4 linked regions of the Drosophila melanogaster genome follow. The protein of the gene in region 2 interacts with the protein of the main gene of each other region in a pairwise test. Each region holds a gene or a part of one and is shown on either strand. Other genes may lie near its edges. The genes, in order: CG30060, CG13843, CG1622 and Pez.

Evidence for each region.
Region 1: the proteins of CG13843 (region 2) and CG30060 interact in a two-hybrid assay, tested with the Drosophila melanogaster proteins (one large-scale study listed by BioGRID).
Region 3: the proteins of CG13843 (region 2) and CG1622 interact in a two-hybrid assay, tested with the Drosophila melanogaster proteins (one large-scale study listed by BioGRID).
Region 4: the proteins of CG13843 (region 2) and Pez interact in a two-hybrid assay, tested with the Drosophila melanogaster proteins (one large-scale study listed by BioGRID).

Annotation. Positions count from the first base shown.
Region 1 is NT_033778.4:13,421,512-13,425,611, forward strand, and holds CG30060 (uncharacterized protein), read right to left. Parts: upstream 2,137-4,100; 5' UTR 2,093-2,136; coding exon 1,484-2,092; 3' UTR 1,467-1,483; downstream 1-1,466. Other genes in the region: ATP8A (ATPase 8A), read right to left, coding at 1-196, 328-525, 588-748, 809-992, 1,091-1,214.
Region 2 is NT_033777.3:22,606,902-22,611,696, forward strand, and holds CG13843 (uncharacterized protein), read left to right. Parts: upstream 1-2,583; 5' UTR 2,584-2,636; coding exon 2,637-3,205; intron 3,206-3,253; coding exon 3,254-3,773; 3' UTR 3,774-3,814; downstream 3,815-4,795. Other genes in the region: Efa6 (exchange factor for Arf 6), read left to right, coding at 296-317; CG31156 (uncharacterized protein), read right to left, coding at 1,959-2,182, 2,245-2,374, 2,448-2,580, 3,821-4,051, 4,109-4,298, 4,351-4,550, 4,620-4,795.
Region 3 is NC_004354.4:13,294,718-13,301,117, reverse strand, and holds CG1622 (uncharacterized protein), read right to left. Parts: upstream 4,037-6,400; 5' UTR 3,889-4,036; coding exon 3,879-3,888; intron 3,812-3,878; coding exon 3,671-3,811; intron 3,592-3,670; coding exon 3,467-3,591; intron 3,372-3,466; coding exon 3,236-3,371; coding exon of another isoform or gene 3,222-3,235; exon of another isoform or gene 2,931-3,221; intron 2,413-2,930; coding exon 2,306-2,412; coding exon of another isoform or gene 2,295-2,305; intron 2,223-2,294; coding exon 1,545-2,222; 3' UTR 1,208-1,544; downstream 1-1,207. Other genes in the region: CG1764 (uncharacterized protein), read left to right, coding at 4,571-4,605, 5,107-5,429, 5,494-5,591, 5,736-5,960, 6,022-6,147.
Region 4 is NT_033779.5:6,332,203-6,341,494, reverse strand, and holds Pez (Pez), read left to right. Parts: upstream 1-2,823; 5' UTR 2,824-2,847; intron 2,848-3,001; 5' UTR 3,002-3,352; coding exon 3,353-3,437; intron 3,438-4,223; coding exon 4,224-6,180; intron 6,181-6,241; coding exon 6,242-7,109; intron 7,110-7,170; coding exon 7,171-7,389; intron 7,390-7,456; coding exon 7,457-7,633; intron 7,634-7,687; coding exon 7,688-8,011; intron 8,012-8,073; coding exon 8,074-8,202; 3' UTR 8,203-8,614; downstream 8,615-9,292.

The sequences.
Region 1 (4,100 bases), on a different chromosome or scaffold from region 2:
GATGAGGATCATGAAGAGCATGAGGATCTGGGTGTTGGTCAGCTTGTCTACGGTTGAGCGCTTCAATGGCGCCGAGGTAGAGTTCTTCATCAGCTTCGTCTCTTGCCCGGAGTAGACCACGATCCCGAACACCCATGCCGTGTTCCGAAGAATGGCGCCACGTTGGAGCACCTGATCATTGCCCAAAGCAGCGGGTCTACAAAAAAAAAAGATGTTTTTATTCATTTGAAATAGCAGTAGGGTGACAAAAGTCACTTCTGAGACTACACACATTGTTTAATTAGTTCTCTTACTGTTTACATAACTATTTAATAACAAATTACTCACGGCTTTCCAGTTTCCCTGAGCACTCCGTTAAACTCGTATAAATGCCGGTTGGGCAGCTCGCACTCGATCCTGCCCTCCAATCGTTGCAGATCCTTCGTCTCCAGCAGTTCAGCGGTGGCTGGGAGGGCCTGTCGAATCTTCAGGTTGGTCTCACCATCCAAATTGGCCGTCTCTATGAAGCACATGGCCTGCGGTTCACTGTGGAAGCATCAGATTCGTATAAAGTATCAAAACAAATTGGGGTTAACTTGGGTGCGCACCTGGACGACAGCAGAATCAGATCGGCGGGGAAGAAGGTATTGATTCCCACTTTGATGATATCGCCCACCGTCAACTCCGACCAGCGAACTGTGCACCACGAGCCACTATCCAGGCGCTCTATCGATCGGTGATTGATCTCATTATCCGCCCGATGTCGTTTCTGCAAATCATGGAAAGATATCAACAACTCAACTGGCTATATGTTACTCTTAGTACTTACAATGTCCTCGATTATCTCCTTAATGGCGCTCACCGAAAGGATGAACATCAGTGGCACTAGCGTGGTGTAACGACCCGTCGGCGACACCTCCGGGATTTGTTGCAGTATGGCAATTAGCAGGAAAAAGCAGTTGGAGTAACGCCGGAATTGCTCGAACAGGAACGCGGGCAAAAAGCTGATGAAACTGCATGCAAATGGGACAGATTGTTGTTTACTTTGTGTCTAATCCATTCATTTAGGTCATGATAGTTATCAGGCGCTAAATGGCTCGTACTCACTCACCTATATTTTGCCGTCGTTATGCGATTATTACCGTACTTAGTGGGCTGTGGCCCATTTAGGTTTATGATACGCCTCTCCCCATCATCTGCATCGTACCCAGCGGACGAGGTGAAGTCCTCGTCATCTGAAAATATGTATGAAAACGTTGATTAATAGGTGATATCAAAACGTGAGAAATCGGAAAATTACACGGCATTTATTACCGTGGACAGCGATGTTTCAATTAAGTTCTCATTTTTTGCTGATTAGTAATCGGCTATTATCTTTTGAATGCTACTATATCAATGATTTGATATTATGGCTATATATACCAAGGACATACAAGTATGAAATTATAGTCGTCCCAAGAACTGTATTATAAGAACAAGACTAATTTAAAACTTCGAGCTTTTATTAATTTTCATTTCCATTTGAAGGTTCGAATTCATGTTCCGAGACGAGGTATGTTGGTGTCCATCGCCATAACCATTCCACCAGATAGAAATTGGCAGCCATCGGATTGCCAAGCGCATACTTCCTTGCAAAATTATGGCAATTGAAGGTGCCACGACCCTTTTCCTCGCCCTCGGGAACGAAAGTCTCGTCGAAATCGAGCTCCAGATACTGCTTGAAGGCCAGGAAGACGATTCGATGGATGTTACTGCCGTGGATGGTCCGCCGGTTGTCGTAGGCCACAAGCGTCTGACCCATGGCGACATCGCAGCCCGGAATATTACCGACCATCCAAATGAGCCACTCCGTATTATTGTCCGGCGGCACGTCCAAGTCGACCATCATCAGCGTGTGATAGTGTTCCGGATCGGCCTTAAACCGAATGATCGGTTGCTTCAGCGTCTCATTAATCACTACCATAATGCCCGGTTTGATGTCGATATCGCAGGGATATAGCACACTGATCACCTTCGTTGGCTTGCAGGCAAAGAGGCGGGGTATCACGTGGTGCCTCTTGAGTTCCGTGACCAGTTTCTCAACTGGACAAAGGATCGGGCAGCTCACCAGCATGGTGGTGGAATTTCAAAATTTTGGTTGACAAAACAGGAAAGAGGAGCTAGGCTTGCTATAATTGGCATATAAGCTTTTTTTATTGTTTATGGAACAACAAGAACCGCAGATGTCTGTTGTTCTAGATCAATTAAAACTGATCAATCGATCAATCGAATAAATAAATTCATTGTTTGGTTTCTATAGTAGTTACTCTAGATCGCATTTCAGTTGTACTATTTTATAGACTGTTGGTCTTCAAAGAATCCCATATTTGTGTACACAATTTCCCCATCATTTGAAAGATTTGAATATTTTTCTAGTCACTTACGACTCCAACGAATGCGCATCGCCTTGTAGACATTACGAAAGTCCATTTTGGCCCGGCGAAAAAGCGCGGGACAACGGAAGCGTCCTGCCCGATCCCTAGATGGCGCCGCTACCACCGACTCCACCGTCTCCTCCTCCGCTTCCTCTTCCTCGGGCCCGGGTAGCTCGTCGGATCCAGAATCGCAATCGCCCACGGGCACGAATGCAATGCACTCGCCAGCGGTCTCCTCCTGATTCCGCTTGGGAAACCCCAGGATGGAGGGCAGTTGGTCACTGGTGACAGCCTCGGCAAGGATAATCAGCCACAAGTGGGCGTGGCGATTGGCAAATGGTATAAGAGTAGTCCTGTGGGATGGCGCCTGCGCCTCCTCTTTTTCAATCAATGCGTATAAGAAAACACAATTTTCATCCCGTACGGAGGATTCTGTGCCATGCACATTTGCCTATACACACGGCCAATGAAGGGATTCCTACGGAGCACCATTTGACCACCTAATCAAAGTGGTTCACCAATGTTCCTTGCGTGGCCAACTGGTCGTATAACTTTTTCACATCCATCACCTGGCAACGTGCCTGCACTTTTCCGTTTCAGGTATCGATTTGTCACAATTAAGTTGAATGCGTTAAGCACGTGATTTTCCGGCCAACAGATTTAAACGATTTTGATATATTCAGTAAGTTAATTTGATTGATAATAGCTTAGCTGACACTGATTGACGAACGATTATCTAAAGTTACTTAAAATTAGCAAATATTCTGCGACACACTTTCACCACCACACACTTTTCACTATGTGCGCTCTCCTGAGCTCCGATACTACGACTGAAATGAAATTTCCACGAGCTCGAAGGACCCAGAAAGGACAACAGGGATGGGTTTCCCGATGTGCGGGGTGTGGGGTCATCCCCCCCCAGGTTGGAAACCCCTTGAGTCCAACCCACCACCCCTCAAAAGCTGCGTAGTGCATTCTCCAAAAGGAGCTTATGAAGCTTGCGATTTATCAGTAAACCCAAAACACTGCGTACCTACCACTGGGAAGCTTGGGAGATCGGGTTGGGGGGTGTTTGGAATGCAGGAGCAAAAGCGAAAGCGAAACGTGCTAGCAAAACAAAAGGTGAGAAACAAGGGAGAGCTACGTACGAAAAGAGAGCGCGAAGAGAACGCGACTGCGCCTTAAGTCAAATGTTTTGAAATGACTTGGAATTTGAAGGTCGACCAGAGCCGACCAACGAAGTACCCTAACTATCATATATCGTATTGCAAGCGAGTTAATGAATGCTAGGAAGCATATTTTCCCAACTTTATATTGAGTTACTCATATTTCCGAATAACTATGGCTAGAAAATCTGTGGACCGTAAGTTTCACTTTCTAAAATAAATATTACATTTTATGGCAAGATCATAATAACTAACCACATGGAATTTTGATAAATAATTTGTAGCGATTTAAAAAATTTCTAAAAATTTCAAGTGCGGTTCAAAAAAGAAATTTTAAAGAAATTCATTTGTTAGTTGGGATATGAAAGCTATATATACGCACATATATATTTTATATATATACTTTAACAAGTATAATGGCTTAGTTAAAAAACATATGCACCTTTTCTTTTTTTCCGGCCTGGGCGTGTTCTTTTAATATAATTTTTCACTGACTGCATACTGCCCATCACGGACGATTCGTCCAGCCTTCGATGTGGAT
Region 2 (4,795 bases):
AGTCTCTTGCCAAGATTTAGCCACATCAGCCACAGCACACGAAGCACCACAACTCAGAGGCTAGTGATCCGCTCCAAGAGGTGCTCCTTGTAAATGCCCTGACCCGTACTGATCGACCCGATCACCTGTCTTATTAAATGTGAGCAGGCCGAGGCCAAAACTCAATGTTAATTGTTAACTCTTCAGTGTCTAGCTTGGCTTAGTGCGATCCCAAAACGAATTCCCACCATCCGACAACCCGTTTTTTGTTTTCAATCCACGATTGCTAACCTCGCTTATTGTTCTACACTTGCAGAAAAGAGAAGAAAAAGAAATAATTACGTTTTATTTCGCTCTTGATTTCGATCATTTCAAAACTCGCATAACCAACACACACCTACATCACAATCCCCGCCTCTTGGCTATCGGTAAGTGCCATGCCCACATTGAACCTATCAGCAACTTCGACTTATGCGTGTAACTATCTTTTCTCTCCCCACCAGTGAAGCAGGCGATTGAACGAATTTGAATAGAATACTCCAAAATGCCAAGCTGCCTGCGACGGGAACATAAACAGATCAGATCCACACAGAACCACTGAACCACTCACCCACTCGCATACTCAGCACCACTCGCGCCACGCCACCACCCACCCACTTACACTCAAGCGTTGCGGCTGTGCCGTGTCTGCCACAGAAATTCGGAATTCGTGCACTTTCAGTCAGTTAAAACCCCATCAGGGGTTGCGAGAAAGAGATCATTTGAGACAATTAGACTACCAATGCGATAATTAACGAGGGAGAATTTTACGTTTAAAGGTCGTTCATCAGAAGACATCGGCATAATCTCGGCAACCAGAGGATTATCTCGAATTCGTGCAGTTGATTTTATATTTACCATGCTACTTATCCAGAATGAGGGTATTCGAGATCGGTTTCACCTGATTTAAAGCTACACAGTCAGATCGATTCGAATTTGAATTATCGTTCATATTTGCTCCGCCAAAGATTCTGCTGGACGGCTGTTTAGGAACGAGAATGAAAACTGCTTATACACATAGACTTATTATTACAAGAGTTGATAAACAATACTTACATCATTACCTATGCTATCATTATAAATGATAAAAATAAATTATTAATTAATGAACAATATCTCTACACAACCACAAGATGGAGAACATCGGCAGTAACAATAACGAAATGAGAATTGAGAAGAGGACAAGCGCATTAGCATTAAGCTTAAGCAATTACTACCATACCGTGTACAACTTGTTTTTGGTCTTTTGCGATACATTATCACATTTAACTGTGTAGGAACAGTTACTCCAATATTATGTACGGATTAATATATTTATTTAAACAACTATCGGTTGATTACGCGACATGTCCATGTAGCTAGAATATGAAATTAAATATCCATTACGGGGTAAAGAGAGATGGAGGAAAAAATAAAATTAAATGCATCATATATTTTTGAATATATTATGATTATGGTATTGTGTAATTATGTAAATGCAGACTATATAACATTGTTTATAATAATTTTTAACAATTCTACTGAAACGGCAATAAATTCGAAAATACAAACTAACTAAAAGTGAAAGCAACTTGCCTGCTGCAAACCAAGCGCCTAAATGTATGCATATTGTATATTTATTTTAACTGGCTTAAGAGGGCATCACTTAGTTTCTAAAGCAATACCCTTTCGATAACAATTCATTTAAGACAACTTGCCAACTTGTGGCGAGAAGGGAAACAAGAAGACGAACGTGGAGACGGTGATTTTTATGTGAACATTTATTACTAACTGATAAGCTTTGATTAAACTTAGGAAAGCCGTTATACTATGCATATACACATATATATAAATATATATATGAACTATATATAGTATATATGAATGCTCGTGTGAGCAACCAAACAATTACGATATGAATCATTAAATACTTCCGAAAGCATTAAATCCCTGCAGTTTGTCTAATCCTCCGCCTTGAACTTAAACGAGGTATCCGTCTCCATCAGCATATTTTCCAAACGTAATTCCAACTGGCGTCGCTTCAGATCCACCTTTACCACCGATGCCACAATGCGATCGCCAACGCTCAGCTGCGAATTATTCATGTTACTGTTGTGTATGAGGCCATTGCGCTCCACTCCAACGTCCACGAAGGCGCCAAACTGGGTTACGTTGGTCACGGCACCTGTGTGTCGGAATAGTTTCAATAAGTACATATATGAAATGACTATCATAGTCTCCACTTGCCAGTGACCACCTCGCCCATGCTAAGATCATCCAGCCTAGTTAGACCTTGTTTGAACAGTGGCCTCTTGTCCAGATCTGCTCGATAATCCTGAAGTAATTCGCGCTGCAGGGCAACCAACAGGAACTCCAACTGAAAGGAAATTTATTTTAAATTATTTGAACATTGCAATAGGCCTGTTTAGTATAGATTGAGTGGCACTTACTCGCTCCATGGGCAGCTTGTGCTGCTTGGCAATGCGATCGAGATTAGGCTGGGATGAGGCAAACTGCTTGATGCTAGCTATAAAGGCAGCCTTGCCCACATCCGACAGCTTTAAGTCACATTCTCCGACAATACTGAAAGCACAAAAAGTATTTGGTTTTAGAGTTAAGTTTTCAAATTTTCCATTATAATGATTGCCAAGCTAAAGCAGGAATATGCGGAGCGCTGGCATTATCCTCCAATTGTGCCGCCAGCCAAGCTTCGATATGTTGCATGTGGAAAGGTAGCATTCTACGGCCACAACGATAAGCCGAAATACAAGCCCTGCTGGCAGCATCCGCTCAATGTGCAGGATCAAACCCGCTTTGGAGTTTGCTGGGAGTATCCGCCGGAGCGGTACAAGCGTCGTCCGCTTCCGCCACCGTGCCGGGGATCGACCATTCCCATCCATTTGCTGAAGCCAACCTTCAAGCATTGTGAGAATATCTACTCCCGCTACGATTTTAAGCTTGAGCAGTGTGTGCACGAGCAAACTCTAGTAGTTGACCAGAAAATGAAGGCCCTGAAGAATGAGCTGGAGCAGGCCAAACCATTTCAGATTGAGAGGGTTAAGGAGATGCGTTACCATGGAGTGCGTTATCGCATTTTAGCCAGCTCGACCGGATGCACTAAGACCTATCCCGAGTACATAAGCCGGATGACCGAAGAGCGGGCCCTTTGCGAGTTTCAGAGAGCCTACAATATCGTCAATCAGTCAAAGTAAGTCTATTAAAAATACACAGCCACTGCTAATTTAAAACTTTTTAGCACCGATTTGAGCAATTTATACCTGGACATGAGTGAGTCGAAAAAGGAGCTAGATCAACGCGTAGCCAGGTTGGACCGGTCTTTAGGAAGTACATTCTTGAAAGAGCTAGATTCGGTGCTGCAAATAATCGAGGACTTAAACACGTATTTCTTTGGCGTGATCGTGAAGCTAAAGACGTGGGCGGAGCTGATGGACCCTATGAAAGAGCACTCTATAGAGGACTATCTGGGGCTTTTGAGTCAGGAGACGGACTTCCGGACTTTTATGAGTGCCGGCATGGAGAACTGCACCTGCAAGCGTTGCGACAAGAAGGATCCCTTGAAGCCGTACCTTCCGTGCTGGTGTCAAATGGAATCTAGCGAGGATGTTACAAATCTTAAGAATTTTGACGACGATTGTCCAAAGAACATAGCTGGCATCACGCAACACGAAAGTGACATTGTGACACCTAGTGACACCTCCTTGTTAGTGAGGGCAGCGGATGAAAAGGCCAGGCTTGCGATGAATCAGGCGGAATAAAGTCTCATTATTATTGGTTAATGAAGTCAATTGAATATTGGACTTACCTTTCCACAACGTTGTAGCTCTCAGGATGCACCCAAGTGCAATCTAATGGATTCTGTAGTTGTCCTCCAACGCTTCGGGGTTCGATGCGCACAAAACCGGCGCACTGGACAAACGATTTCTCACCTATGCTTCGCACGGAGAGCAGATCCTTCCGTGTCTTGAATGGTCCTTTCTGCGTACGATGCTCAATGATCTTTTCCGCTTTCTTTTCCGACAGACCAGCAATGTGCCTATATGGTGGAGAATATTAAAAATATATAACTTATTTGACCCTTAATCACACATACTTGAGTACACTCAGACTGGCTGTGTTGAGATCAACGCCAACATAACTGACACACTCGGACACAACGTCATTCAGCGATGCCGTCAAAATCTTCTCGGGAACATCGTGCTGGTACATACCAACCCCCAGGTGACGGGGCTCTATTTTAACATATTCACTCAATGGATCATTCAAACGACGCGCTATGGACACTATACAAAATATGTTTGTTTGTGTTGCTTTTAATTTGATCTTCGTCCAAACCTGCGCTCCTTTCGTTTGTATCCATTTTGGGAAACTCCTTGGCGGCCACATTGCTGCAGGAGTAAATAGATGCTCCATTCTCGTTAACGATGCTGTAGCGAATGATCCTGCTGTCCAGAACGCCGGCATGAAACATACCAGTTAGCCAGTGCTCAGTTTCGCGACAGGCAGTACCATTGCCCAGGCCAATAATTTTACAGCTTTTGGGAAAGGCAAAAAAGACATATTAATAACTATCTTTGCAAATCGAATTCAAAATATATATATACTTATGATCTGAAAGAAGCTGAACCAATTTCTGTTCGGCAGCCCGCTTGTTTGACATGGCACCATGAGGGTAAATAACACCAGTGTACAGCACATCAGCAGTCTCGGATATAAGTGCCAGCTTGCATCCATTTATAAAACCCGGATCTATGCCCAAAATGCGTTCGCCTTTCAAGGG
Region 3 (6,400 bases), on a different chromosome or scaffold from region 2:
GCACTCGCACAAACATACACACAAGCACACACACACCTAAACAGTACCCCGTTTTCCCAAAATGGTCAAAACGGGCCATTTGACGCGCGCATTCGCACACGCGTGAATTGTGTGCCGTTTACTGTTGTTCGCTCCATTCACTTCGGTTTGTTGTTTGTGTTCTGCAATTTTTGTTGTTGTTGTTGTTATTGTTGTTGTATTGCCTGACATTGATATGATATGATCGTAGTGTCTGTGCATGTCTGTGTGCGCTAGCAGAGGCTTTTTGGCTTGGATTACGGCTCGGATTTGGTGGCTTAAGTGAACTCTCTCATTGGTGCTGGCACATGCTAATTACATTTGATAAGCCGCTTTCTGGCTGCCCGGCGATTTTCTTTTGACGGCGCTTTTCTTCTAACGGTCGGCGCGAGAGGCGACAACTCGACGCAGGCGTTGCACACTAACTGAAATTCGAAATTCGAAATTCGGCCAGGAGGCTTGGCACCGCCTCACCTGTCTCAGCTGTCGCACCTGACCGATCCGCGCTGCCAATAATCTGCGCAGCACTGGCGATTATAATTCCATGCTCGACTCAAAGCTCGAAAAATGCCCCGCCGTGCGAACTGCCACAATCCTCTACCATCGAGAATGATTACCCTCTTTTATGACAGAATACTAAGTTTAAAATGGCGCCCGAACAGGGATCTCTCCACTTGTCTGTAATCTTTCTGAACACATCACAAGTGATTTGAGTATTGTTCAATCCTATTGGAATTAGCAATCCTCTTAGTTTATCTGTAACAAGACATGGAAGTTATACTCTTAAATTTGAATACCGAAGTCTGTTGGATTGAAGTTTCCCTGGTAATATTGGTTTTGCACCTGCTTATAAATTGCGCAGCACTGATGATTATATTTCAACAAAAAGCTCTCACAAGCACAACTTCAATATCGGGCCAAGCATTTCAAAAAGAAACACTGCGAAACATTAGGAAGTCTTTTTAAAAACCTAGATTCCCTAAAAAGTATGCAGCAATCAAATCCAATAGTTTTCAATCCCATTCAGTATATATATCACTAATTAGAATCACTGATGGATGTGATAGTCCAAGAACTCATCCACTTTGTTCTCTCAGGTTAAAAGTAAAAACCCATACAATTTTTGGATCTATCTCGAAACTATTTACAGTAAAGCTTCTACTACCGAATATATCAATAAATATCAATAAACGTTTTAAACAAATAAGTTTTGACTTTATTTTCATAAACACAACTTGAAAACTATTTTATCAGCGTAAGTGTAGTCACAAATTACAAAATATAGCCTTGCTGCTGTGTCCGCATGTGATTGTGTCTAGATTTAGTGTTAGTTATGGAACATTTCGGGGTTTCGGAGAGTGTTTAACCTGAGTAAGAAGCGCAACTGACGTTCGTGGCTTCCAAAGTGTAGATAGAGTTTGACAAATTAAAAAAAAATGTGTAGTAGTACTATGGTGAAACAAAGTTAGTTAGTAACAGAACAACTTAAGGAGGAGGAGGCTAGTTTTGGTGGGTGGAATCGGTCTTCACCGATGACGTCGCTCACGCTCTTCATAGTGTTCGTTGTGCCGGCTCTTGCTGCTCCGCTCGTAGCCACCACCGTCCCGCTTGCGCTCATGGCGCTCGGAGCGGTGGCGACTCCGGCTGCGGCTTCTGCTGCGGCTACGCGAGCTTTGTCTATGGTTGTGCTTCTTCTTGTGCTTGCTGCGGTGGCGGTCGTAATCCTTATTCTTATCCCGATCGCGATCCCTCTCCCTTTCGCGCTCGCCGTAAGGCATCTGTGGTGGCAGCGGCGCCGGTGGGTAGTCCTCATAGCCACCGCGACCACGGCCGTAGGACGAGCCAGACGCGGCAGCATAGTAGTCACGCTCGTCATAATCGTTGCGGTAGTTATTCGGTTGTGGGTAGGCGTTGGAACGGGAGCCAGCTTGTCCACCGCCACGTCCGCCGCTTCCACGCTCTACTCCTCCCTCCGGATAGTCCTGGTAGTCCGCATCCTGGCCAGCGGCTCCAGGACCACCACCAGTGCCCGCCGTTGACCGACCCGTGCTCAACTGATGGACGGTCACCCCCTGCTCCCTACAGTATTGCTCGATCCTCTTCTCGATCTGCTTTTGAATCGGCACGGGGATGCGCGGAAAGAGCGTGGAGAACCAGTCCAGCTTGGTCATAAACTGATAAACCATCTGTCCGATGGTTAAGACCTGCAAATAGCTTAGGTTAGTTCCAAGTTCTATCAACCGAGTGTTGGTTTTCGTGTGATTGGTGGCTCATACAGTTGACTCACCTGGCCGCCGCCCGCTTTCACGTCGATCTCCTCCTCGTCCTGCAAATAGTCCTCATACCAGTCGTAAAGGTCACCCGGCGGCTGCGTGTATCGCAAGTACATAAAGCCTGGGGCACGGAATAAAAATGAGAGACTCGGGATTAAAACATTTTCAAGGAGTTGAACTTGTGGTGGTTGGCCAAAGGGGTATAATGAGTTTCATGGTAGAGTGGCTCGATTTGATTGACGGGAAAGTATTACTTAGTTGGAAGGAAGCCTATTAATTTTTGAATGGAATATATGTTTTCAATTAGTGGGAAAGGCCACTCTGACAAAACATGGAATTTTCTTTTGGACAAATTTAAAAATCATGAATGTATTATATAGCATTTAATCGGCAAAATCATGCAATAGGTAACTGAAAATCCCTAAAAAATAGTTCTTAATAGGCAAATTACCGTAGACTTTGACTTTTTCCTTTGATTTTAGTTAGGAATTTCTGAAAAAGCAATGGTTGAATGTCAAGATGGTGATTTAAGTCGAATAAATTTGAAAAGATTTGTGCATGCTTAATGAACTGCTCCGGGAATTGCATAAACATGAATACTTGATAAAATAAAATATTTGCAAGTAGGGTAAAGATTACCTTCGCAGGCAGATGCAAGGAGATGCTAGGTCCTCTTCTCGCAAAAGGCACAACTTGAAATCGAAAAGGAAACGTGATTGTTGTTCAATCCATAGAATACCATCCGCCAAGATTCTCTATTATAGTTTGCAACCGTCCAAATCGACCCACCCTGCTTCATGTATTTTATTTTCTTTTTTCTTATTTTTTTTTTTCAAATTTGGGGTGATGTATGGTGTGGTTTGGTTTCGTTTGGTGAGCTGGGGGAGCAGGAGCAAGCGACGGCATATGTGACGGCTGAACTCATGCGACTTACCAACACCTACCTAGTGCCCGGATGTAGGCCGAGTCTGTATGATTGAGCAGTCCGTTGATCTGCTTCCGGGTCAGCCGCAGCGTGTATAGCTTGTAGAGCAGGCAATATGCCGTTGACACAATGCCGCCGGCGCCAACGCCTCGCACCTAGAAAGGAATAGGATAACGAAAATGAGTGCATACATTCATGCATTGCATAAAGCATCGCCAACGATTAGCGCTACATTTCATAAACCACTCACACCGCCGCACATGCCCGTTTGTCCGGACGTTTTGCGGGATCCACGCTCCCAGGGCTCCATATGCTTCACCTGGTAGTAGATCTCGTCGACCACTTCATGGTACGTTTTCAGTTTAAACAAATGGACTGTTTGGGGTACACAAAAAAAAAGGCGGGTTAGTAAGTGTGACGATTGGCAATAGCACGCGTGTGGATTTGGTTGCACCTTTGAAGTAGCTGGAGCTCTGGATGTTGGCCAGGATCAGGGCATTCAGGTTCATCGAGGATTCGTTGCCCCAAAAGGGCAGCGTGTTGTGCTGCTTGCCGGCCTTCTTGCCACCGCCGGCCGAAGATGACGCCGAATAATCTGCACGAGACAAGACGCCGCCATCAATGAAACGCTCGCGGGGATTGGATGCTATGTTCTTACTCACCTTCGTCCATGCCTACTGCTCTTTTACTATTGGGCGCATTAATTTTACGGCTACCGAAGGATTGTGTGCGCGGGAAAACGCGAAAAATGCAAGCACAATTTGCAATTTACATGCGAGAAAATGCCCAAATTGGCGATGTGTATGCGTTAGCAGTCGTTATCGGTGTGTTATCGATAACGCTGGAGCGGGCAATTCTTAAGGTCACTGCTTTGGTCGTGACTGTTCACCACAAGTCGTGATTTTCAATAATTTGTAATAATTTATTTAATATTTGCTTATGAAACCTTATTTGTTAGCGTAATATATAATATATAATATATTATTATATCACAGTAAGCGCAATTTTCTTTTCCTTCTAATGTTTTTGGGTCAATTCTTATGAAAATGCACAGAAAATTCGCATTTCGTTCAGTTATATGCTTGTCCTTTTAATTATTAATTTATTTGATTTGTAATACTACATTTAGAAAACAAAAAGTGTAATTTTCCGTTACTAAATCGTTTCAAAAACTTGTAAATATTTCCAGTGAATGGCAGAGTGACCAGGGCGTCGAAAGAATTGCCTTTACGGGCATTCGCAGCGAGGTCACACTGTGCCCAACTGAATCCAATCCGAATCCCCATCTTCGCATCCGCATCTGCATCTGCATTCCGCCGCCGAGGACGAGCACCCAGTGGCCAATCCGCCGACCATGTCGCCCAAGTACACACATGCGATTGTGGCCAGGTGAGTGGAGCCCAAATTCGTCTCAATTCGACGGATTGCCGCATCCGGAGGAGGGAGTGCCCCAGTGGCGCGGAATTAGGTCACCCAACCAAACGTTCGTGGGTACACATGCCAGTGGGTGGGGCTGCACCTTCCAAGCCGCCCAGTTCCTGGATCCTGTCTTTAACACTATCTAGTTTGGATCTATCTGATTATTCAAATCTTTCTATAGCTACATATCTAAAATAGAACTTATAAGCCTGAGGATACCAATTTTGAAGTTATACGTTTAAAAATACAGTTTCCTGTTTACCAAGCATTAATTTATCTATTTGACACATCTTCTACAATAGTTTCTCCCACAATCATTAAACAAAATGCTTAAGAATAGGAATTAATAACTTTCTTTCTTATAAGGAGTAGTTAGCACACAAGTACATTACCCACTCGTTTATCCACTCAGACGTTCTCGTATTCGCGCCTCAATTAGCAGATCCATTGTTAACCGCTTTAAATCCGTAGAATCTCGGATGCCCTGCTGGAGAACGGAAAGTTCGACGTACAGCTGGCCAAGCAGCAGCACGAGCAGTACTGCACCCTCCTGAGGACCATTGGTCTCGATGTGATCGAGCTGCCGCCGGATGACCAGCTGCCCGAGGGCGTATTTGTCGAGAACAGTGCGGTGATCTGTAACGGAGTGGCCCTGATCGGAAGATCGGAGCATCCCAAGCGGCAACTCGAGGCCGAGAGCATGGCCATTATTCTCAAAAAGGAGCTGGACATTCCGGTCATCGAGATCGAGGATCCGAACGCTCAGCTCGATGGTGGCGATGTGCTTTTCACGGGTATATATTTCATTTAAAGAGATACCATGATATCATAATTAATTCATTGTGTTAATTGCATTAGGTCGCGAATTCTTCGTTGGCATCTCCAGTTTCACCAATGAGGAGGGAGCCCGGGCGGTGGCCATGGCCTATCCCGAATATCCAGTGACGCCGATTCGGGTATTGTTATAATATAACTATTGGAAGCTTTATAGATTATCCACTAATTCAGTAAACATCTGTGAAGAGATCTTTGAGATTGTCTATTAAAGCTTCCCTTTCTTTGTACACCGCCCATTAATATGTGCATATATTACAAATCAGGTCAACGGCACCAAGAGGCTGAAGTACTATGTGACCATGGCGGGGCCGGAAGTGCTGTGTGTGAGCAGTAGCCCCACCTGCCAGGAGATCGTCAAGCGGATGGAGCGCGAGGCCATCTGCACCTACCAGAAGTTGACTCTGCCCGAGGAGAGTGCGGCCAATATGCTGTACATCAATGGAACGATCGTGCACAGATCCCCAACGGAAATTCCAGAAGCCTACAAGGTCAGCATCGATCGTTCTAATTAGACGCCATGCTAATTGTTTTTTTTTTTCTTTCGGGCAGACTTTAAAAGAGAAAATCGACATTCCAACACGCAACATAAATATTAGTGAATTTAGCCAATATTCCAGTGGTCTGACCTCGTCGTGTTTGTTGCTGCGACGCTGGAAGTCCATACGGAGCTTGTGAATCTCTCTGGGAGCCGAGAGGTTCAACCGACCGGAGTGAGAAGCATTGCCATGAGAAACATGCACAACAGGCCCAAGGAGCAGGATACTGCATGCATTCCCTGCTCTGTCCAGGCATCAGCAAAATTGTATTATCTTATTATAGTTTATACACACCATCTCTTGTTATTGTTACACAATTAAGATTAAACCTTTGACGCTAATCAAACTGATTGTCGCTGAGGCGTCGCTGCTGTTACTTTCCAGCTCATTGT
Region 4 (9,292 bases), on a different chromosome or scaffold from region 2:
AAATCATCCCAAACAAAATACATTCCCTTTCATTAGGATTCAGTTTATGAAGTACTTAAAGATTTTAATGTACATATACGGTTTGTATACGTTTCTTTACCCGAATTTATAAAAAAAAGCATAGGAAATGCAAATTGAGAGGGTTTACTTAAGCTAGAGTTTGGGTTTTGAAATGCACACTTGGAGTTCAATGAAATTCGCCCCGACTGCTTTGAGTTTTAACTAGTGCCGAAAGCATTTTTACTAGAACTCTCAACTTAAGCAGTTGGAAGTTTGAGCTGATCCCAGGTGTTATCTTTTGTTTTGTGGGGGCTTAAGGAGCTCTACTGAATTTTCACCTTGAATTCGGGTTTGACTTAATGCTTTAATGTTGCTAATGCGCCGCTACGTGCGTGAACTTTGTATAGAGTCGCGTAATAGTTCTTGTTGCTGTGGTCAGCAAAAGGCAGAAAATAAATATTAAACACATGCGAGGCATATGCAAATCGACGCCAGTATCGTCATTCTCGTCCGATTTCGAGGAAGGTATGTGTTCGACGCTCCCGATAACAACCAACACTGACAACAAGTGGAGGTGAACATAAAATTGGCGTCTTTTTATAGGTCACCCATGTGTGCTGTTCGATTGACGGAATGACGACAGCGCAATGATTAAATTGTGTTAGGAAGCACACATATATATCACGAAAACCAACAAATGTTCCAAAAATGTTAACATAAATTCGGTTTCTTTAGTTTTTTTTACGAAACAATAGATCCTAACTCGTTCAAATGTGTATATGTTTCCTCCAAAAACACTCTTTATTTGAGTGCTTCTTTTTCTAGTTTACGACTAAGTAGTTAATCTAAATGAATGAGATGAATGATCTTGGTTATTTCTGCTTAGCCATCTATTCAAACAAAGTTTACGATCTAGTCACAACAAACGCCCATCTAGTATCACCCTACACACTTGTAATGTGCGTGATAACGCTTAGAATCTCGCTTGGCATATGTGATTTTAAAATTCCCTAAACACGATGACACTCTCGAATTACTCGTCCGAATCGACGGAGAATTATAAAGTAAGCATGACTATGCATATTTATTTCGCGCCCAAGTGGCTTTCGTTATCATAAACCTAGTTTGGCTGTCTGGAAAGGATGAAATGTAACTCCGCGCTCACTTTAACCGAAGTCCATTAAATGTAATCCCATTACGGAACCTGCCCTTTTAATGGTTCTTTAATTGGAAGAACTAATAGTCTAGCTTTAATAGGTAGGTAACCCTATAATGGGGTGTCATAACATATAATATAATATATTTATTTAGTTTGTCTTTGAACTTGAATTTCAGAGAACTAATTTTTATCCATAAAAGTTCTTAGGAAGTGTACAACAATGTACAATTTTTATATTTTAACTGATTTATATATATGTAAATATGTATGTACGTACATACCTAGACTTGCAGTATCTCCTACTAAGTTCTTAGTTCTTTCAAAATGGAACGATTTTACAGAGTTCAGTTATACAAGGCAGCAAGAGTATACACACTTCGGCTTTTCGAACTAAGCCACTTTCAATTTCGTTGTAGTAAATTTTGATACTAGGATTTTGTTTACATCGTCATTAATGTGTGTGTGTTTAATTAGCATAAAACAATATATCGGTTGGCTTTTTTCACAAATTGTTTTTAATAAATTGGAAACTAAATGCAACGCCAACTCCAATTGGAAAATGTGTAAAGTTGGTGTACTTAGGATTTTCAAATGTTGATTTTTTGAATAAGGAAAGGCAGGTTAACGGAAATTAAGAACATAGCTTCGTCGCTCATATCGAGTGCTTACTGTACGGGAAGCAGACAGTCGACAGCTGTTCTCAGCGGAGAGCCACGAGCAGAAAAGTAACTTGATGGCCGATTGGCGACCCGAGTCGCGTTTTTGGTTATGCAATTCGGCCTACGACTCGGTTTGAGACGTGAAAGGCGGCGATACAGCGTGCAAATAGCGCAAATTAATAACAGAAGTGAATTAAATTAAATTACACGCAGCGCGGACGGAGTGAGCGAGAGCGCACTATCGCACGGGCGGCGGCGAGGCTGTGCGAGAGCGAGAGGGAGAGGGAGACTGGGCGAGCGCAGCAACAGGTACTGAACTTTAAACTCGCTCGCAGGGCTCTTCTGTGTGTGTGTGTGTGTGTGAGCGAGCGAGTGAGCGATACGGTTGCTCCATCATCTGTCCTCGTCGCTGCAACCTTGACCGCCAATGCAGCGCTCGAAATATCTAAGCAGCAAATTAATTATGGACTGGATTTCGATTTTGGTAATCGGGTTTTGCTTTTTGGATTTCGACAGTGCGTGGCCTTGTGATTCGGCTCCTCGAAACTCACCGATCGCGATCTCCGACTGCGCTGCTCCTAATCCTCTGTAGATAGACGACGATCGGTGGATGTGGATGTGGATTTGTGCCCCGTCTCTGGTGCTCTTCCTGTTGCAGCCCCTCTCAGCAGCTTGGCAGACGTCAAAGCCCTTGATTTAAATTCGCTTTATTCAGTTACGCAGCGGGGCGAAGCCACGATCTTAATTTTAATTCGCTTTATTCGATAAAACGTTGACGGAGGGCGGCAAGTGCAAAGGGGAAGTGACGACTACCACGGCAGCAGCAGTACTAAATTACTGAATTCCAGAGGGACCGTCGTCGAATCGCGGTGTGGATTTCTCAGTTGCGCGCACTTTCCAGCACTGGAGTTGGAACGGATAACAGAGCTATGCCAGCACGCCACCTATGTGTCCAGTAGCTCTGTTAAGTTTGATATTTTACTGTTCGCTAGAAACCGTTATTCTCTTGCTGTGTACAACGAAGTATTCGTGTGTATCAGTGGTTTTAATATCTTTAGGAATTTTATTTAATCACTGCTGACTGCATTGTTATATATTTTAAAATATAAACTGTTTTGTTTCAGTTACATATTTCTTGGTTGCACTTGTTTTCTTTAACAGAACTAAACCTATTTTCTTGCAGCCCACTGCGCAAAGACATACCGATAGTCAATGCCGCCTATCGATCCATTCGATGCCAGCCACCGAGATACTCAGTCAGCACCTGCGTATCGATATCAGCACTTCGGTCTCTTCGTTTTATTTCTCGTGAATTCCTTTATTTATTGTCGTTAACTGCCCAATTACTATCTTTAACTTTACTTAACCAATACGCGCAGTGCTCTGGTTTGCGTGTCTAATCAGCTGATTCAAATCGGCTAATTCCAATTGAGCAATTTACTCCCCCAAAAAAAACCTGTGGTGTCGATGGTGCTGCCGTTTTAGCCACTTTTGTGAGCCCAGCGGAGCCCCGGTGGAGCAAAATAGTCGAAAAATGCCATTGAAATTCTTGAAAAAGTGTCGCCAGTACAATGTTACGTCCAAGAGTTTGTTTGTTATATCAGTGCATCACCTGCTGGGTGAGTAAGCCCCACATTCCTAGAGGCGCTACGCCCCCCACAACAACAACAGCGACAGCAACGACAACAACAACAACAGCAATAGCAACAGTGGAGACGAGACAATAGAAACAACAAGAAATCGGTGACAAAGCCACAACTTAACAGCTGCCGTCTGCCATTGCAATTGGGATTATTTAATTGGGAATGTGCACAACGATTGTCATGCGGCGCCCACTTCCAGTTTAGCTGGAATTCGCCTTCCAAGGCACAGACCACAAAAATGCCTTCACTTGTTGCATTCTAGTTAACAGTCGCTGAGTTAACAGAGGCGCACAGGACACATAACAGCGACCGTTAATTCTAAAACTAACAGACTGCCTATGAGAACTTCCTAACTTTGCGTACTTCACATTTTGTATATTATTTACTCTCGATTTTGGGCTAAACAAAAGCATGTTTTGTAGTTCTTATACACTTAACCGAATGTACTTATTTGGCAAGCGAACTGAAGACCTTGACTCAATTAAAACCACCCAAATTTCTCCAACCATCAGAAAGGTTTTAGACATTAGGCCTACGTTTCGTTAGTTAGGAAATACGACAGATGAGAGAAGCCAATTGAGCGGCGCCGCCACAATTTCCGTCCATAAAACGTATAAGGTCTCGAAAGAGATTATAAACTTTATTTGCATATTTGCGCGTGCGACGGGCAGGGCCAAATTGTTGTTGTGCGGCGAATTTAGAGTGCTTGGAGCGACTTAGGCCGATGTTTGAAGCACGTTTTCACTCTTACCTACATTGCAGACACATCCAGCACAGTGGACTGCACGATCAGCTCGGAGAGCAAGGGACAGGAGTGCCTGGACAACGTTTGCCAACGTTTGCTAATCCAGCAGCCGGAGTTCTTTGGACTGCGCTACCTGGTCAAGGGCAAGGACAAGGAGGACGAGTTCAAATGGATCGACCTGGAGCGCTCGCTCAGTCGGCAGCTGGAGAAGTATGCGGCGGGCCCCAAGATCTACTTGCGCGTTCGCCACTACGTGACCACTGGCGTGCGCCACTTGAGCGACGAAGCCACGCGCTTTTACTACTTTCTGCAGCTGAAGAGCGACATCTACGAGGGCCGCATCGCCTGTGACATCCGCACGGCCATACTGCTGGCGCTCTACTGCCGCCAGGCGGAGTACGATAGCTACCAGGGCGACAAACAGAGCAAGGACTATCTGAAGAAGTCGCTGGTCCTGCCGCGCAACATGCAAGGCCTGGCCAACGATGACAGCATGCTGGAGGGACTGATCGTGGAGGTCCTGCAGCAGCAGGCGGGCATTGCACATCTGAGTCAGAGCCAGGCGGAGGAGATGTACATACAGTGCTGCCAGCAGCTGGAGGGGTATGGGGAGGAACGTTTCGCCGCCAAGGACACGCTCGGCAATGATTTGTTGCTGGGCCTGGCCATCAACGGGATGGTGGTGAACGCGGACAACGGTCGGCAGTATTTTCCATGGAAGGAGTTCCACACGGTGACCATCGACAAGCGAACGATTAAGATCGAGCAGAACAAGCTGGATGGTGGCGGCAGCATCGTGGGAAGCTTTATATTCAGCGAGGCGGACACGGCACGTTACTTCTGGAAGCTCACCATTAGCCAGCATAAGTTTTTCAAGCGCTATATTGACACGGCCACGCCCTCGAGCCTGGGAAGTGGTGCGGATGCGGAGAGTGGTCCGTTGGGCGTTGACAGCGTTGGTTATGTCGACTACGATTACAATGAAGCGGCGGCCGCCGAGCAACTGCAACAGCATCATCAGCAGCAGCAACATATGCAGCAGCAGCAACAGATTCAGCAGCAGCAGATGATTTCCTCCAACATTTCGCTGGCTACCAGCGCTAACCAGATGTTGGGACAAAGCAGCTCCTGCCTGGATTTGAGCAACAACAACCTGCACAGCAGCAGTGGCATGTTGCACCACGGAGGCAGCAACAACAACAATAACAACGATGAGCGGGAGCGCCTCAAAGCCATGCTGCCCACATACCGCCCGGCACCAGACTATGAGACGGCGGTCCAACTAAAGTACCGCACACCATCGGCGGAATTCCACAATGTGGCACTGGCAATGGCCGCGCCCGGAAATGCCTACTATGCGGGCTCCCAGCCTGATGTACACAATCCAGGCATGCACAACGAGAACTTACTGTATGGTCATATGACTGCGCATCGTTATCCGGACGTGGCCCAGCCGGCGGCTGCCCTACACCACCACATCAACCTGTACCAGGCACAGCATCAACCGCAGTCACATCCACAGCCCATGAGCCCCGCCCAGGCATACCTAGAGCTCTCGCAGCGCATGCATATGATGCGTCACAAGGCCCCACCGCCGTATGTCAATCGGCTGAGTTCCTCCTCCACGCCCGATCTGGCCGTGGCCACTCCCCGTCCCCTTCAGGGTTTCCGCAACTACGTAAGCGGCTCCTCGCCGGATCTAGTCTCTAACCGCACGCTCTTCAATGGCGGTCAGTACGTTGCTCTGCCCGCAGGCGGACATGCCGGAAATATTCCAACATCTTCCGGAGCCACCATGTTGCACCAGTACCAGTACGTGAGCCACATGGGGCACTCGCAGCCCTATCTGCCCCCGCACGGCACCTTCGAGAACCTCAACATGATCGAGGAGCAGCCGTCTATAATGTCCCAGCTGCGACAGTCAGCGATGAGTCAGGCAGCAGCTGCAGCTGCCGGATCTGTGGTAACGCAGAGGTAAGTGTAATGAAGTCGTAAAATAAACAATATAACAATACTTTTCGCTACGATCTTGCAGTTCACCTACCCTGCCGCCGAGTGGATATCGTAGTTCTGTGCCCCCGCCAGCGAGCAGCCCGCTTCCACCGCCGGTGGTTGCTTCGTCCCATAAATCGGCGACACCGGCGCCACTACAGAGGAGCTTGGTGAACGGTTCCATCGAGCCCATCTACGAGAATGTACCCCTGCCACAGAGAGCCTCTGGTGGCAGCAGTGGTGCCGCAAATACTGAGGCTATGCGTCAAAGAGCTTCCTCCATACAGTCCGCCCCAGGCGTTGTCCCTGTTCCAGCTGCTCGAAACGCCAGCTCCAACAACGTAGTTACTGTAACTGTCAATTCTCCACCCGACGATGGAAACATAAAGAAGTACGGCGCAGACCGAGCAGCAAGCACGGAGCTGCTGTTCCTGGAACCGCAGGCTCCTAAGCGGACCAATCGAGCCGCCAGTGCAGCGCCAGATATGGGAGCCACACCTCCGCCACGACAACATCGCTCAACAGCAAGCCTAAACAAGTCGTCGACGGTCGACATGATCACGCCGGCCGGAGACACGCTGCAACAGCAGTTCAGTGCCATGAATCTTTCTGCCAACACATCAGCTTCCACATCCTCCATGTTCAACTCAACGCTGGACACCACGTCCTCATCGGCGGCCAGCAAAGACTTAAAACGCAAGAAGCGATGGAACTTTTTGTCACGCAGCAAAACACCCGACAAACAGAAATCCGCCACACTGGGCAGGGAAAAGGCCACAACGGCAGGTCAGCACTCCAAGCTGGCGGCAAAGCTAAAGCTAGCCCAAGACGATCTCAACCTGCCAAATCGTTGGTCCACAGGCGTCAACAAGCCGCAGCCCATTTCTGGACGATATTCCAAGGACAAACTGGTAGGTTAAAAGTTATTACGATTTGGAATCCATTTCGATTAAAGCGCTTGTCAACTTCCAGTGCCAAATCCTAGACCAAAAGCTAAGTGACTCGCAGCTATTCATGGAGTTCGAACGCATACCGAAACGACGGGAGCATGCCCTATACGAATGCGCCCTGCTGGAGGAGAACGAGCCAAAGAACCACGACCCCAACTTTTTACCCTATGACGACAACAGAGTGCGACTGACTCCATGCCGAGACAATCGGCATGGTTACGTTAATGCTTCCTCCATATCTGTACGTTCAGTTGACACTCAAGATGAAAAGCAAATTGTGTATTTCATTGTTGGAACATCTTTTTCAGGCCACTGTGGGCACAAAGCAGCGGTTCTATATTGTGGCCCAGTCGCCACAAGAACCGCTTACCATGCGCATCTTCTGGCAGTGTGTATGGGAGGCGGATGTGTATTTGGTGGTCCAGCTAACCGAGGATATGAGCTATATTCCTCGTAACAGTCATCAGCGTCTCGAGTTTGGACAGGTAAGTGAACCGCATAAGCTTTTAGTTCTGTTCCTCAAAGGTTCTACTTTCTAGTTCCAAGTGTATCAGGAATTCTCACAAACCACCGATCGATGCACCACCATCAAGCTGCGCCTTTACCACGTACCATCGCGTCGATACCGATCCGTTTGGTATTTGCAGTACGCTGACTGGGCGGAGCAGAATTGTCCACGCGATGTGAATCACTTCCTCGATTTCCTCGAGGAGCTGAATTCCGTGCGATTGGCATCTACGCAAGAAGTTCCGCCGGGACATAACACAAACCCACCAGTTCTTCTTCACTGTCTGGAGGGAGGCGGTCGTTCGGGAGTGACACTGACCGCCGATCTTTTACTGTACACGTTGGACCACAATGAGGTGAGTGGAGAAAGGGAATTTATTATTCCATTTCCATAAGCATTATTTTCTTACGATCGCAGGACCTGGATATACCTCGAGTTATCGGGCAGCTAAGGCATCAACGGGATAGCATTATACCATCCCTGGCGCAATACAAGTTCATATACAATCTGCTTATTACCTATTTGAAGCGCACGAGGCTCATCTGAGGTTCTAAAGAATATGGAAAACTTGGCAAGAAGTATTTTTCTTTGTTTAAGCTTAAATTGTTTATATCGAACAAATTTCCTTTAGTTCTCGTTTTAAAAAATCAGTACAACTCCGTTCAGCAATTTTATATTTCTACTGGCAGCTGTTGTCCCTATAATCGTTAAATTTTAATACCAACTAGTTTTTAAGCTCTAGATTTGTTATAAAAACAGAACCCCCCACAATGGCCACTTTATAGATACATACATAAATATAAAAGTAGCGGATAGGTAGTTGTTTTGGCAAGCCAGTAAAAATGCCAGTTAACTAACCACAGCCACAACAATTGGGCTTAGGTTTAAAGCCGAACTATTTATACATGTGTATTTTAATAAATTTCGAAATAAAAACAATAACAAATTGATAAAAAGCAATAAGCACATTTAACTCTTATGCGACGTGCAACGTGTTTTTTCTTAAAAAATTATTCCCAGCGCGCTTCCCCAAAGAAAAGGTTTGAAAAAAATTAATTTTATTTTTGTTAATTTGGTTTGATGGTCCGAAACATAGTTAATACATGTATAATTGTCACATAGGTCTTAAAATATGAATTAAATGTACTTCATGTTAGTTTGGCGATCTGAAGACATTTTCATACAATACGTGGCAAAAAGGAAGACATATTATGAATTTATAGTCTTCAGATTTAGGACAAATTTTGTTTTTCGGTAATAAAAGCCAGACATTCATTTTTTAGACGTCTTCTCAATTTGATGAAAAGTTTAAAAATCTTTTTAAACTGCCCACTTTTTTCATTCCCCACTAGAATATTGAACATTTATAAGAAGACGTCCCCAGGATCTTTGAAAATCAAAGATACAATTAAAAGATCACTTTTTCAAGGTAATATTCATTATTAAATAATTTTATTTTTGTGCACCTTTGCAGACAAGTTGCAAAAATAAACGCTCAACATGACATTGAAAAAAGTCTCTCGTCGTTTTTCAAAGATTCCTAAAAATCTAATCATTTAGCTGCACAACATACAGATATATAAATACAGAAAATCATTAAGCAAAATACGCGATTTTTATTTATACAGAGTACAAT